Linked DNA regions of Lytechinus pictus. The protein of the gene in region 1 purifies or fractionates together with the protein of each later gene. This does not show direct contact. Links are inferred from orthologs where the notes say so. Each region holds a gene or a part of one and is shown on either strand. Other genes may lie near its edges.

Region 1 (7,613 bases):
CTAGACTATCAAAATTCACAAAGATCCTTTGTAATTGTACCTTGTAACGAGGCATTTCTATGAAGCTGTTTCTATGAATGAACTATTTAGAATCCAGTTTGCATAAATTTACTAGTCACGATACTTGACAAATTCTTTGGATGTAGAGAACAATTGTCCAAGTATGCAAAAATGTTGTTAGTTTGAACCTATTGTTCAGTAGAGTATTTTCTAGTCTAAATGGAAGCAACTGATTGTTTAAATAAAGAAGCAGATGGCTCATAGTTTCAAGAAGCTTTAGCTTGAATTCACAAGTCAATGACACACCCAATAAGCGCTTTAGATTACTGTAATTTAAATTCTTTTAGATTCCTTTTAAATAGACAAAGCAAATGGCATCCTATTCAAATTGGATGATCCAAGACAGTGTAGAATTCAATCATCCCCAGTGAATGACCATTGATAAACTGACCATCTAAATACCAGGGAATGTAATCTATCACCTCCAGCTAATTCTACACTTATCCAAATCTATCTAATCTTGGGTGAATTCTACACATTGCTCTTTTCCTTTCAGTTGCATTTATCCATTACTTTATTTCAAAAGAGTGGGTTGATTTTATCTAACATTTTATCTATTTAAATTGTAAAGATTGAATTAATCGGGGCTTCTTTTAAAAATATTTTTAATGCTCCATATATGTACATGCAAGATAGCAAATGAGCTGTCCTTTATTTCCAATGAAAAATAAACTTGAGCCATCCTCTATAAAGATATACCAATAACCATTTTACCTTCTAGCTGGTCTGCACTTTCTACCCTACTTCCAGTGCAACTTTGCTTTCCTTCTCCTTCTTCGTCGGAATCTGCCGAGTCGGCTGAATCATCTGGGACCCCCTGCAGAGCGTTGCCAAGTACACCATTCTCCATGCTCGCTAGTTCAAGAAGGGAGCATCCATATTGATAGTACGCATCCCCACACTCCTCCGCAGTCTCGCCATATTTAGATGACCTGCAATTTAAATGTGCAAGATATATACACGATTGAATTAATGGATTCTGAAATCTTCATTTTCCATAGATTCGATGACGGACCACCCAGTTTCAGTACACAATGGGATATAAATGTAGTTACATTTATCTACTAAAAAGAATAACACTTTCACTCTGTAATGTTAGAATTAATGTAATCAAATTGATTTAGTATAAAATAATAAGGGTAGGTCTGCAAGAAATGGAGTAAAGACTAAAATCATTAGATTAATTGAATACTAGGATTCTATCACAGACCTCTAAAATAACACAACTCTTGAATTTCAAAGGAATATTTTCCTTCATATTTTGATTTGTGTGCATTCTGCAACCTTTGAATTCAGTAATCAAAGTATTTTCTCAATCCAAGGGAATTGTTCTTTTTAAGTAGACCAGCTATAAGGCTTGGAATAATGTACATGACCAATCAATAAAAATTACTTGTTTCCTAAAAAAAAATCATTAAATGTAGATCTATAGATGTAAAACTGAAAGAAGGTGACAATTTTGGACAGACAAAAAAGGTCAGTTTGTCTCATGTTAATATGCTTAATAGATAATGATGATCTTTCAGATAAAATAAGAAATAAACCATGTTTTTTTAATTGATTTTTTTTTTTTGGGGGGGGGGATCTACTGAAATAAGATAAATCGTACAGCAGTTCACAAGCTTCTTGGAAACACTGGACAGCAGCTGGAGGGTCACCAACCACAAGATTCCTCTTCCCCTGGCCCATCAATTCTAAGGCTTCAGCATCAACGTCTTCAGGGCTGAAATGAGAAAAATAATGTAATAGGTCACTCATCATACAGAATTCAATTGACAAATGAAATCTGAATATCAAATATCACTCCAAGCATCAATCCAAACAAACGACAAGAAACCAAAGTCCAATTTGGCTACTTCATCATTTTGTCACTCACATGTATTGCGAGGTTAGTATATGTTCAATAATTTATTAGACCCTACTGATTTGTCATAATTAGTCATTCTATTTGACCTTTAGAATTTAATTTTTAAATAAAATTATAGACATGATAAAAGTTTCTTGACTACGAGGCCAAACTTGACCTGTTGATGATTTATAAATGCAAGAGACAGCTAAAAATCTTTAAGTCATCTTTAATAAAATTACTCCAACTTTTAAGCATGCCATTGCCAATTTTGAAAAGTAAAAATGCTGCTCAGCTCACCCGGCATCTTCTTGTTCCACCTCTTCGATTTCAGCAGCAGAACTTGATCCAGGTTTGTCTTCTTCCGTCCCAAGCATTTTTGTGTAGTCTAGACTTTGTGTGTGACTGCTCAAGAAAAAATGTTCCCCACTGAACCGTCTTTAACCAGGCTTAGCGTTTCCTAATTGGGATAGAGTGATCTGGTGATTTGAACAAGTTTTCTCAGTTGACTCGACTCTGAACTTTAATTGAAGACTCGAGTTGGAGTTTGTCAAGATGACCACCTGCCGACGATACTGTCATACATTCGAAGAAGCAGAAAGATGTCCCCAGCTTACAGTTACCCCTTCTGTTTTCTTCAGAATCAGGCTTTGACTTTGTCTTTGACAATGACAGGTCTAACTTTACTCTTACTAGCTCACTCACTGTCCAAAGCAAAAGGCTAATTACATGAATTAATAAGCATAAGCTGCATGCAGCTCTCTCTGATACTGAGCGAGTGTATGTGAGTCAGTGACAGAGGCCTAGAAGTGTGTATATGTTTGACTGTCACTACACTGCCAAACTCCTGCCGTGCCTGAGAAAGGATCCGTGAACAGTTAAGTTAGGAGTCGGGCGCTCGAGCCTAGCCTCCGCCTACGCCACGGCGTAGTTTCTTGCCGACAAAACGTCACAAAGACCAAGTCAACAACAAAATTAAACGTTAATATTTCGACTTCAATGCAATGAAGTCAAAATAATATTCCCTCCCAGTCGCAAGACCAAGATATCACACATGTGAATATCAGATTCAGGAGGGAGTCTGTCCTGGATCTACAATGAATGACGAATTGTCTTCGATAGAACAAACTCGATCTCCTGAAAATTTCAATGAATGTTTTGCACGTTTTATGTACGGGCTCGAATCGTCTACAGGAATAACAAAGGAGTCGCCCCCAGATAACTCTGTTGAACGAAATTCGTACCTACCGGTACGTGTAAGTAAGATTTTGCTTGTGATCAAAATAATCGCAGGATCGGGACGTTTACGCCCCTTTACGCCCATATACCCTTTAAGTTAGTGGGGAGATCGATGCCCGGACGCGACGATACGTAGATTTGAATGAAAAGCAGAAAAGAAGAAGGGAAAAAATGGGTGAAAGACTTTCACAGAAGATTCGATGAAAATCCGTCGAAGAATGAGACTCCAGTGGCCCGAAATCTATATAGCATGTCATGTATAAATTCCATTAAAAAAAATTTGAATAAAAAAGATAATCAAGTTGGATGATTCATTAGTGGCCTAGCTTTCGTTTTAACATCATGTAAATAATGTTATTGGAAGACCCAGATGAAACTATACCACGGATTGACCTAAGCATAATGAACTCAAAACAATTAACCTTATAAAGGAAATGTGATGGCTTTGGCATCGGACAGCAGATGTACTCCCAGTAAAAAAAAAGTTAAATTAAACATTGTATGCCTATATTATTCATGACTGAGCATCTATTTTACCTGTAGGCCTACTTGTCAGTATATACTCAAGTACTTTCCTGTGTTCAATGATGATATATACAAATAGGCCTATAGGATAGCCCTACGACGCCTTTAGGGCCAACATACCTATACATAAAAAAAAATAATGAATTAAAAGGGGGGCAGTGGCGGACCGTGACCCGGAGGAGACAAAGCATTGGAGGGGCACAGCATTGTTCACAAACAAGTGCCCCTCCAATCATTGTCTCCTCCGCGGGTCACGGTCCGCCACTTGGTAGGCCTATGGGCCGCGATCCTTCGGTATCCCTTTCAAATATCATGAGGAAATTCAGTGTAGTTGGGGCCTTATTTAAATGGTTTCTCGTCTGTGACACCACAAATTAAAATAATTCTTTATGGATTTTCACCACTCTTCTTTTCTCTCTCTTTCTTTACTTTGACTTTTATTTAAACTATTCCGGGAATCTATTCAGAACTATACAGAATCAGAGATTTTAAATCTTGGCCTTTTGAAACTTGCTCAAAGTCTATAGATTTGAGGGGCCGCACGTTAGCCTCATGATCTTTATATAGACCTTTTTTATTCTAAGCCGTCTGTTTGACCTTCGAACCAACTATTTGACATGCATTGCCTGGCCCAGGCTATATGCCCGGGGGGGCCACTTCCATTGACAAGTGGATACCATGCGCGACCACGGGGTCTCGAAAAGCACCCTAAACACGTATTTTCCATGTTCTGAAAATGCACCCCTTAACAAGTATATTGGCGTCTGAAACCCTACCCTTAACAAGCATTGGAAACAAAACTATACTCTTGGCAAGTATTCCCTGAAATGAACCCCTAAACAAGTATACAGCGATATTTTATTGTTGTGTCACGGGTCCGGCGGTCGTCGGTTTTATCTAATTTACACACCATTTGGTTTAGTATGGCCCCACCTTCCTCACCTCGCGCAAATCGGGACTCTAAACACGTAGTGTTGGGGCAAAAAGGACATCCTTTATACAACATTTTAATTTTGTTTGATCATCCCCGCAAATGTGACCCTAAACACGATAGCTTTCCTAGCGAAATAGATACCCTTTTTTCATTATTTTTGTGTTTTTGACACCCTAATCACGTTACGTACGTAACGTGCCCTATCTTGAAAAAGACATCCTTTTTACGTGTTTTCTTGGTCGCGCATGGTATCCACTCGTCAATGTAAGTGGCCCCCCCCGGGCTATATGGGAAGTAAATATCTTCTGAAGGGGATTTGTCCGGGGGATTGGTTTTATTATAAAATCAGAAAAATATTGGTGAAGGGGATGAAGGGTGAACATTATCAAAGAATACGCGGACGGAGTTGTGATTTTTGAATTTTTTTATCTTTGATACATACTTTAAATTCGCCCACTTAAAAGTCATTTAAAAAAGAAGGGATTTTATTCATAGTGGTAAATGTATCATCACAACATTTTTTCCTTTCTATGAGAAAAATATTTGTATTCATCTCAAGTTCCATTGAAACTTGATGCTCGCACATTATGACGTCACACATTAAAGTTCGAAGTACACCCTGAAGAAACTAGCTATATAGGTTGTTGTAAAATAGCCGGCAGAACAAACAATAAAAAATATTGGTGAAGGTTCCAGGAAACTAATTCATTTATTATTCAGTTATATAGTTTTGGATTTGTCGAGCAGATGCCCCGTATATAAAATGAATAGATTTCAATTTTTTGATGGTTCGTGCATTTTTTAGGAACGGATGTGAAATGATTTGTCTATTGATATACCAAGCCGTAGAAAACCGTGTTTTTTTTTATTTTCGATTTTCTGAGACAATGACATTTCATTGATATGCTTTCACCCAATATGAAATCTGCTCGCAAGCCTCGCATTATTGCGTCACAAGAAATCAAATCTAAAATTCCAATAACCTTTTTTATTCTTTGATATTTTTCTCAAACCTTCGGCAATATTTATTTATTGTTTTTCTGCTATTTGTAGAATATAAAATTTTTGTCAAAGTGAACTTCCCCTCAAATATAGCCCGTCACTCTAACAAGACTCTATTCTCAGGTGCTGCCTCAGGTCTTTGCCGAACTTACATGGGGACATTTTCAGTATTACTTTTTTTTTAAAGAAGAAATGCCAAATAAACTGTAGAAGAACAGAAAATTCGAAGAAAGCTTTCATATCTGGAACAAACGGTTTTTTTAAAGCGTTTTAAGGCTCGATTCTGCAATTACCGATCGGGCGAATCACGTAATAGGCGATTTTTTTTTTACGATAAGGATCTTTGAATCAGCTGCAGGAAAGATTTCGCGCGTTACTTTGTATTGGTGGCGCGCCAGCTGTTCCATTGATTGTACTTACAGTTTTAAGGTCACAGATGAATACCATATTTTTCGAAAAGCAGCTGGACTGCTATATGCTACATACTATCTAAGTAATTTCAATAATAATCATATCGCAAAGCAATATATTTTTAAAGAAAATAGATTTTGAATTGGCTTTATATTTCGTATATATATCATCTTCTACAAGATCTACTTCCGGGATGGAATATCTCAGATTCTGATTACAACATGAATATTCATTGCATTAATATTCATGTAGGCTTTTTCAAAAAGTTTATTTGTATGAACAATTTTTATTACATTTGCAATTAAAAATACAAAAATATTGTTTGATATATTAATTAAAATTGTAAATAATTTTTTAATGATTTAAAACCCTTTGCCATAAATAATAATGAATGATTGACGAAACTGTAAAACTCAATTGAAGAAATAGTTAAAGTCTGATGACGTCACATTCTTCCATTTTATATTGGTGTATGCAGCCTCGTGGTCTATATACCGGTGAGTTATAATCTTATTTGAATGACTTATTATCAATATTTGTAGGTACTTTTATGATGAAATTTAAACTTATTCTGTATATGCTTTTAAAGCTCAATCTATACCCTGCCAAGATTTTAATTTGTCATTTGTAGAAAGTAGAAACTTTTCGGTTTGTAATTGTAATATGCCAATGCAATGTGACTTGGGCGAGTTTGCATTTATGATCTTGAAGTTTTACAGAACAGCGCAGTTGCAGGGCTTGTGAGCGCATCGTCGCATAATGACCCTGCCGATCACCCCGGCCCAGAGCAGGCAGTGTTTGATGTATGCACGTCATGTAGTGCACAGGTATGCAGCGCATATCGCCATGGAATGGCATGACTCGGGAGCGTGGGCCCACTCTAGACAGTCATGTAGATCTATCTCGTACTAAGAAAGGGAAAAAAAAAATTTTTGAGGGCTCCATTTTAAATTTTTTGTCAAATTTCGGGGGCTCTTATTTAAATTGAATGCTACTTTCTTGTTTTCTATTGTTCTTCGCCAACGTTACCCGACGCACGCGTCTGGGATAAAACTTCATTTCCGACATTTCTACGACTACGCTCTCGTTATTTTTAAACCAGAATTCATCAAAAAAGTGAAAAAATATTGTGAAAAGATGGAAGAGACTTGCCCGATGTTTACGCCGCCATCTTGTTTCTTATTGTACTTCCCCAACGTTACGCGACGCTCGCGTCCGTTTCAGGTTTTCAGTAGAGTCGCACGGCCAATATGGGAGACGATCTCCCACATTGGACTTGGAGACTTGCTTTGCAAAAGGACAAAAGAAACAACACCAACAAAAGCATGATTTTTTCTACCCAAAATTTTGTCTCACTGAGGTCAGAAGCCCATTTGTTTTGTGTGTGATTGACAACAAAAATCCTTATCAAAAACAAAAGTAGACAGTGAAAAGGGGTAATTTTTCATGAGGAATCTGCTTACCACATTTTTATTTGCCGCCAAGGTAATCCTTTTGCAGCAAATGTAAACAAAGGAAATTGGACTCTAAAACTGGAGACTGTCTCTAAATTGGATACCAAAATTCTTTACAAAAGTCTCTGATATTGGAGATAAT
Region 2 (7,564 bases), on another chromosome or scaffold:
GAATCTTCAATATCCTCCTTAGAGCGGACTAAATGGGTTTAAAAAAGAACATCTTAATGATGAACTGTATTTTTGATTGTACATAGATGTAGAAAACACATATTGAAGTATGGCTTCAAAGACTTGAAATGAGTTTCATGTAACAGCATTAAAAACTTCAACATCAAATTTATTGCTTTTAAAATCTACCCTTTGATTGAAATCACTGCCTACCTTTACAATGTTTTTTTTCTTATAAATTGCACTTGTTTTATTTTACGTTAGCCTTATCTGAAGAAGATAAAGAGGCAAACAAAGTGGCGATATCATTCCACAAATATTTATGGTGGAAGGTATTAGAGCTGGCAGTATGGGAATATAAAAAAATGCAGTTTTCATGCAGCCTTATTGCATAACTTAGGTACTTAAACTTACCTAATTTCATTTCTATGACATCATTAGCTCTGCAAATAAACTCCTCCAATGCACTCCTCATGCTATCCATATTGTTAGCTACAGCACCTATGAGTAAAAAAAACCCCACTAAATTAATATTTGGATGGAATACATTACAGGACAATTAAATCAGGAGGCCTCAGATAAATCTCTGCCTGAGAGGAGCTCCTGGGCAGAGAGCACTATCAGTCTGCCGTCATCATTAGTCAGAAATAGGGGCCCCTGTGAACCATCAAATTACATTTTTTTTAAACCAACTTTTGTTTGTATTGCCTAAGTGTTGAAAAAATGAAATTTGAGGTTCTGATTACAAAATCAAGTCCCATTGGGTTAAAAATTGGCAATTTTGACAGACATCTTTAGATTTTCATTAAAAACATATTTTAGTTTAATATTTTTTGAGTTTTTGGAAAAATTGAAATAATAAAAGAAGGAGGAGGGGGAATGAAGCAGAAGTATGAAGAGAAAAAATGAAGATGGATACTAAAAAGCAATCAAAATGAAAAACTACTGTCAGAGGGGAAGACAAGATAATATATTGCTCCTTTTGCTTAACAGGAGGGGATTAAGAGAGTACTGACCCCCCCCCCCCTCCATGTTTGGAGGGATGCAGGTGCTCATTCCTGTGATACATGGATATAGGAAGGGGCTTTAGTGCCTTGACACAATTCCGCTCCATAGAATTGTGAAAAATAAACACATTAAAAAAAGGGTAAGATTTACTTTTCACTGGATATTTTTAAAAGGGTGGGAAAGAAGAAGAGAAAACAAGAAGTGTTGCTCCAATCCCACTCATCATGTCTCATCAAACTCAAAACCCAACCAGTTGTAGATATCCAACCAGACAAAAGGGAACTTTCAAATACAACGTTATAAGATCAAATAAAGACTGCAACCAACGCTCCCTATATCCCAAGACCATCCCAGAATGGAACCTTCTTGGTGAGGATGTCAGACATTCCAAAGACATAGGATGATTAGTTTGGATATCAACACCCATGTCTCAATAGCACACTACCAAAATTAACTGTGTTTAGCGCTTGACCCCTAAACCCAAACGTACGCGACAACCAGATGCTGGTGATTGTACGTCAACATTCTTCTTCTATCATTCACTCTCTGTCCCCTTCCTCATCTCGCTTCTTCTTCCTCCTTCTCCCATTTATCCTCTCCCTTCTTCCTCCTCCGATTCATCCTCTCCCTTCCTCTCCGTACTCGTTCCGCCTCCCATTCACTCTATCCCCCCTTCTTCCTCCAATTCATCCTCTCCCTTCTTCTTCCTCCTCCCACTCATCTTCTCCCTTCTTCCTCCTCCCATTCATCCTCTTCCTTCGCCTCCCATTCACCCTATCCCTTCTTCCTCCTCCCATTCATCCTCTCCCTTCTTCCTCCTCCCATTCATCCTCTTCCTCCCATTCATTCTCTCCTTTCGCCTCCCATTCACCCTATCCCTTCTTCTTCCTCCCATTCCTTGTCTCCCTTCTTCCTCCTCCCATTCGTCTCCCTTCTACCTCCCATTCATCCTCTCCCCACTTGATCCTCCTCCCATTTACCCTCTCCTTAAGTTATTCCTCCTTCAATCTCAGAAGTCACCCTCTCCCTAAGTTATGCCTCCTTCCAGCTCATTATTCACCCTCTCCCTAACTTACTTCTTCCTCCTCCCATTCATCCTCCACTCTATAAAGAATCAGACGAGGTCTCGTCCCATTCATTCATCTCGATCACGCCTTCACTTCATTGTCACCCTCTCCCATCCTCCACTCACACTAGTGCGAGGTTAATATTATTTATTAGTATACTGCTAACCTCGCAAAAAGAACGTTTGTAAGTGGATTTCTAACTAGGACCTAGGCTAGTGGTTCGCGCGTGCTGCACATGACTTCTAACGTAACTCAACGTTAAAGTTCTATGCCTATGGCTTGATTTTCCTATGCGCGGCGGCATGCATGAATTTTGAGTTGAGCATGTCGAGTGGCAATCCTCAGAGTCCCATTCATCCTCAATAAATGACAATATCCTAATTAATTAAACTGCAGCTGCAGGACAAGAAACATATACTTGCCGTTGGCAAATGACAGCTGTTACGTTTTATATATGCATGCAGTTTTTTTTTAGGTCACTTTCACTGTCTGAATAATGACTGCACTGCCACTGCCACTGCCACTGCCAAGCCCAAGCCCAAGTGCCAGGACGTGCCAGTCTGTAGCAATGCCAATGCAATGCTGTGCACTGAGCAGCTGTGCCTGTGCAGTCGGCACTCGGTAGTGTTTTACTTTTTTGTCGTCTTGACTCTTGAGCTTGACACAACAAAAAATCACAAATGTTATTTAACGTTGGACTTTAAACTAAACATTTCAAGATTTTATAGTCTGCATGAGAAAATACGTTAGTCTATGGCATGTCTGAATACATCAAAAAGTGGATGATTTGTCAGGTTTTTATTGTTTACTGAAAAACTTACCCGCCATCTTTCTTGATTTCGCGCGAGACAACTCGAAATCCACGACACGACATTGACCCGGAAGTACTTTGTTCGGCCGGCGACTACCGTCGATCGCGATCAAGCTCCTATTCCAGGTCAGTCTCAATTTTTATTTAATTTTATACCTGAAAACCTTACCTTGACAATATTTATCGAATGACGTGTGACATGAAATATTTCATTCTTTCATGATAGCGTCTATTGGCGCCTTCCACATTTGATTTTCTGCTACAGTGGCTTGTATTTCTGATGCTACGTCTGCTTAGCCGGTGTTTGGAATTTCCAGAGAGCTTCTCTCGCACACCGCGGGGTCAGCTATCACGCACCGAGAAAGTGTTAGCAGTGCCAGCCAGAACTCCGGCGCGACGTCAACCAAACTCTGCTTTGCCTTTGCTTGATCTGCGGTACGGTGAGAACGGTGGGGGGGGGGGGGGGTGTCTTCTTCTTCTCTATAAGTGTCGATGGTGGATTTTGTAACAGGGCTCCCTTTTTTAAAGGTCAAGTCCACCCTACCTCAGGCGATGTTCGTGCAGGCTCCACTCCACTTGATCATTCATAGTATACCGTACCCAGTTGTTGTGTGTCCGGACACTGTGTGTCCGGACGATCAATTTTAGAAAGTCATTTGGAAAAATTTACAAGGAAAGTTTTATCAATTTTTAGTACAAAATGTCAGGAAATATTATAGAGAACAAAATAGAAGATGATTACAACTATTGATTTCGTATTTTACTATTTGTAGTGTAATCCAATGACAAAAAAGAAGGCTTCAAAAATAATTATAAAATAATAAAGTGTCCGGACACCCGATCCCCAATCCTTCCGGTATTTAAATTAGGAATTTAGGGTTCCTGAAGCCACACTGAAATTTGAAAAGTGTCAGCATAATTAAAACAGGCTGATTTAGGGGAAAATATGGCACATTTTTTCGGGGAAATTCAGGCTAATAAAAAAACGTGATCTGAATTGATTATTAACTTGTGTTTGGCATGTATGGAAAGAGAAAATTCAGGGGCTTCTTTTGACAGTAAGGACAAGTTTATATGATGGTGGTCCCAAGTCTGCGCACCTAACATTAACAATTTGAGTTAAGATTTAACATGAATTTCTTCTTATTTCACAAAATCTTTTGGTTAATAATATTCCTTATTATTAGTAAGTGTACCAAATTTCTCATTAAAAAAACCTCGGGCTGTCATTTTCAGATTGAAAAAAAAAATGGTTCCCCTGGCCATGTCTGCGCACTCATTCACTTTGCACACGATTCTGGGATTTTGATGAGAAAGGCTGCATTTTGAGGCCTTCACATAAAATACCCTAAATTCATTATTTTTCCATCATTTTGAGTCAGATTTTTTTATGAATACCTGTCTATCAGTAGAGGCGCACGGCCAATATGGGAGACTCTCTCCAATAGGGGAGACAATCTCCCACATTGGAGACTTGCTTTGCAAAAGGACAAAAGAAACAACACCAACAAAAGCATGATTTTTTCCACCCAAAATGTTGTCTCACTGAGGTCAGAAGCCCATTTGTTTTGTGTGTGATTGACAACAAAAATCCTTATCAAAACAAAAGTAGACGGTGAATTTTTAAAGTAGACGTTGAAAAGGGGTAATTTTTCATGAGGAATCTGCTTATCACATTTTTATTTGCCGCCAAGTTAATCCTTTTGCAGCAAATGTAAACAAAGGAAATTGGACTCCAAAACTGGAGACTGTCTCTGAAATTGGATACCCAAATTCTTTACAAAAGTCTCTGATATTGGAGATAATCTCCCACATTGGAGACAGTCTCCAATATTGGCCGTGCACCTCTACTGTCTATGTATTGCATGTGTAGAGTTCGTGCTCGTTGCGTATCTTCTTTTACTAGAATCGCGCAGATACGCGTGTGCGCAGACAAGGGGGACTGCGCAGACTTGGGGGAACTTGCCATATGATCATGTTTAATAAGGATTTAGAGATAAATTGCAAACCCTTATTTTTGTGTGTGTTGAGATTGCCATTTCTCCATGCGTTTTCTATGGGAAAATGAAATTTCTGTTTTGCACAATTTTTTTCACTTTGTCGCAATTTTTCATTGTGATCTGGTTTCCAAATCTTTATAAAAATCATACCAACTGATAGAGCATAAAAAATCCTATAGTTTCTGGCATTAATAATAAATTCATAACAGCTCTCGGAAGCTAAAAATTTGGATTTGTGTGTGTCCATTTCTTAACTACACAGTCTATGGCAGAGAAATGCTGAAAATTGACCTAATTTCATTCTTCTTTTTTGCAGCCAATAATTGGATTTTTTTCAAAAATGTTACACTTCTGTCAGTCTTAAGGTCATTTCTCTTCAAATTCACAAAGAAAATGTGATATTTTCTTGAAATAAGAAAAATAATTTTTTTCTCCAGACACCCTAATAGTATACCCAGTTGTTGTGTGTCCGGACAGGTTGTGTGTCCGGACGATCAATTTTTTAGAAAGTCATTTGGAAAAAATTACAAGCGAAGTTTCATCAATTTTTAGTACAAAATGTTAGGAAATATTATAAAGAACAAAATAGAAGATGATTACAAGTATTGAATTTCATATTTATAGTGTAATCCAAAGACAAAAAAGAAGGCTTCAAAAAGATAAACTGTCTGGACTCCCGACCCCCCATCCTATGATGCCTATGGGGTGTCCAAACTTCGCGCACTTTTCAAAAATATTCATCAGACATCAGGCTTAAATTTGTTCACAAAATATTCATAATTTATACAAAACCAATTCAAGAAATAGTTACCACATTGACGGCAAGATCGTAAACTGTAAAATCATGGACGAAAATGTAAAGTAGGTCAAGGGGATTCGCCGGTATCGCGATCTCAAAATTCTATTCCAATCGGCGAATGCGCGCTGTGCTGGAAAACCGCTCAGAAAGTGTGACCTAACTTCGCGGACCAAAGTTTTTGTGGAAATTTAAACAAAAACTCAAGCTCAAAAAATGAAATATTTATATCAGATTGATGGCAAAATGCTATAGAATCGGTTAGTACCACATCTAACTCACATTTTTGATGATTTCTGCTTGCAAAATGGTGATATCGTGATGCTTGTTGAGAATATCTGATTTCTTCAAAACGGGCGCTAACAGTGACAAATTTGCCGATCTTTTGCCAATATTTTCATGAATACTGAACTCATCCTAAAGAAACTTACATCAAAGGGTAATTTTATTTTTAGGTCGCTTTTCACGTTGATGATGTCAGATTTTAAGAATATTGGCTAGTTTTTTAGATAATGACCGTCCACGAAGTATGGACACGCGTGAAGTTTGGACTCACTGCCATACCGTAAGGGCACTAGTATTCAACCCGTTTGGAGAGTTTCCTCAAATATATATATTATAGAAATATAGAATTTACCTGAAATTGATTTCAGACCCGTCTTATTTCCAAGAGCAAATGCTGGTTATTCTTTTTCCGTTATTTTTTTCTTCAACCCGTCGACTGTGTGCGCAGGCGATCAAATTATACGGCGATGGTTTTTGGCACTAGTAAAGTAGTATTCAATCCGTCGACACTAAAGTTAGTATTATTTCAACCTAGCGATGAAAGATGGCCCTGTCTTTCAATCTGCCCTTGTCCCATCCGACTATGGACTAGACCAATCGAGATGAGACCAAACAGGGAATTAATCAAAGCCAGAGACTTACATAAATCTAGATCTAATTTAGCAATCTAAACCATTTTTAAATTAGCTATCATCACTAGGTTGAATACTACTAGTACTCTACACTAGTATTACTAGTGCATTTCAGTGCAAAAGGTCATCGCCACATAATTTGATCCTCCGCGCATACAGTCGACAGATTGATAAAGAAAATACCGACAAAAGATTACACTTGTAATAACAAAGGTATGAAATTAAGATAAATTCCCTATTTCTAAATATTTGGGGGAATTTGTCAAAATCTTTGAATTATGCCGGGTTGAATACTAGTGCCCATACGGTACTTAGACTTAGTACCGCTACACTACGCTCTACCTACCCGAACATCGGGACAGTGAACTAGATCGAATATTCCGAGTCATAAATTGGGATGGCAATCATGGTTATCGTAAGAATTAAAGAAAAAATATATAACGAGGGATATGAATGACTTAATATCTTACTCTACACCCGTATTTCACTCCGTGTCCATCCTCCGGTTATCCTCAAAATTGGTGATTTTGGGCAAGTATCTTTTTCCTCACACGTATTATTCACGGCCGATTTCAAAACATCGCATGCGATTGGTCGCATTATTATTTAACAAAAATAAAATCTAATACGTGATTATAAATAATTATTGTTATTATAACAATTATTTTCAATCAAGTTTCAAGTGATGCAGGTGAGACTGCCAGAGGCGCTCCACTTGTTACTCTTTCAATTTCTACAGCTGATTAATATAGGTTTGACAACAATGACAACTTGACTGAACCACGGGTGTAGAGTAAGATATTAAGTCATTCATCCCTCGTTATATTTTTTTTCTTTAATTTTTACGATAACCATGATTGCCATCCCACCTTTTTTGACTCAGAATATCCGATCTAGTTCACTGTCCCGATGTTCGGGTAGGTGGAGCGTAGTGTAGCGGTAGTGAAGTGGAGTGGAGCCTGCAC

Evidence for each region.
Region 2: the proteins of histone-binding protein N1/N2-like (region 1) and histone acetyltransferase type B catalytic subunit-like purify together in Homo sapiens (affinity purification with mass spectrometry; 3 studies listed by BioGRID and IntAct, with this or other methods). This does not show direct contact. The link is inferred for Lytechinus pictus from reciprocal best matches to the Homo sapiens genes NASP and HAT1.

Annotation. Positions count from the first base shown.
Region 1 is NC_087255.1:22,431,263-22,438,875, forward strand, and holds the start of histone-binding protein N1/N2-like, read right to left. Parts: upstream 3,097-7,613; 5' UTR 2,284-3,096; coding exon 2,207-2,283; intron 1,784-2,206; coding exon 1,670-1,783; intron 993-1,669; coding exon 775-992; intron 1-774. UniProt on the Homo sapiens protein: Component of the histone chaperone network. Binds and stabilizes histone H3-H4 not bound to chromatin to maintain a soluble reservoir and modulate degradation by chaperone-mediated autophagy.
Region 2 is NC_087247.1:32,189,808-32,197,371, forward strand, and holds the start of histone acetyltransferase type B catalytic subunit-like, read right to left. Parts: upstream 3,007-7,564; 5' UTR 2,904-3,006; coding exon 2,897-2,903; intron 502-2,896; coding exon 415-501; intron 29-414; coding exon 1-28. UniProt on the Homo sapiens protein: Histone acetyltransferase that plays a role in different biological processes including cell cycle progression, glucose metabolism, histone production or DNA damage repair. Coordinates histone production and acetylation via H4 promoter binding.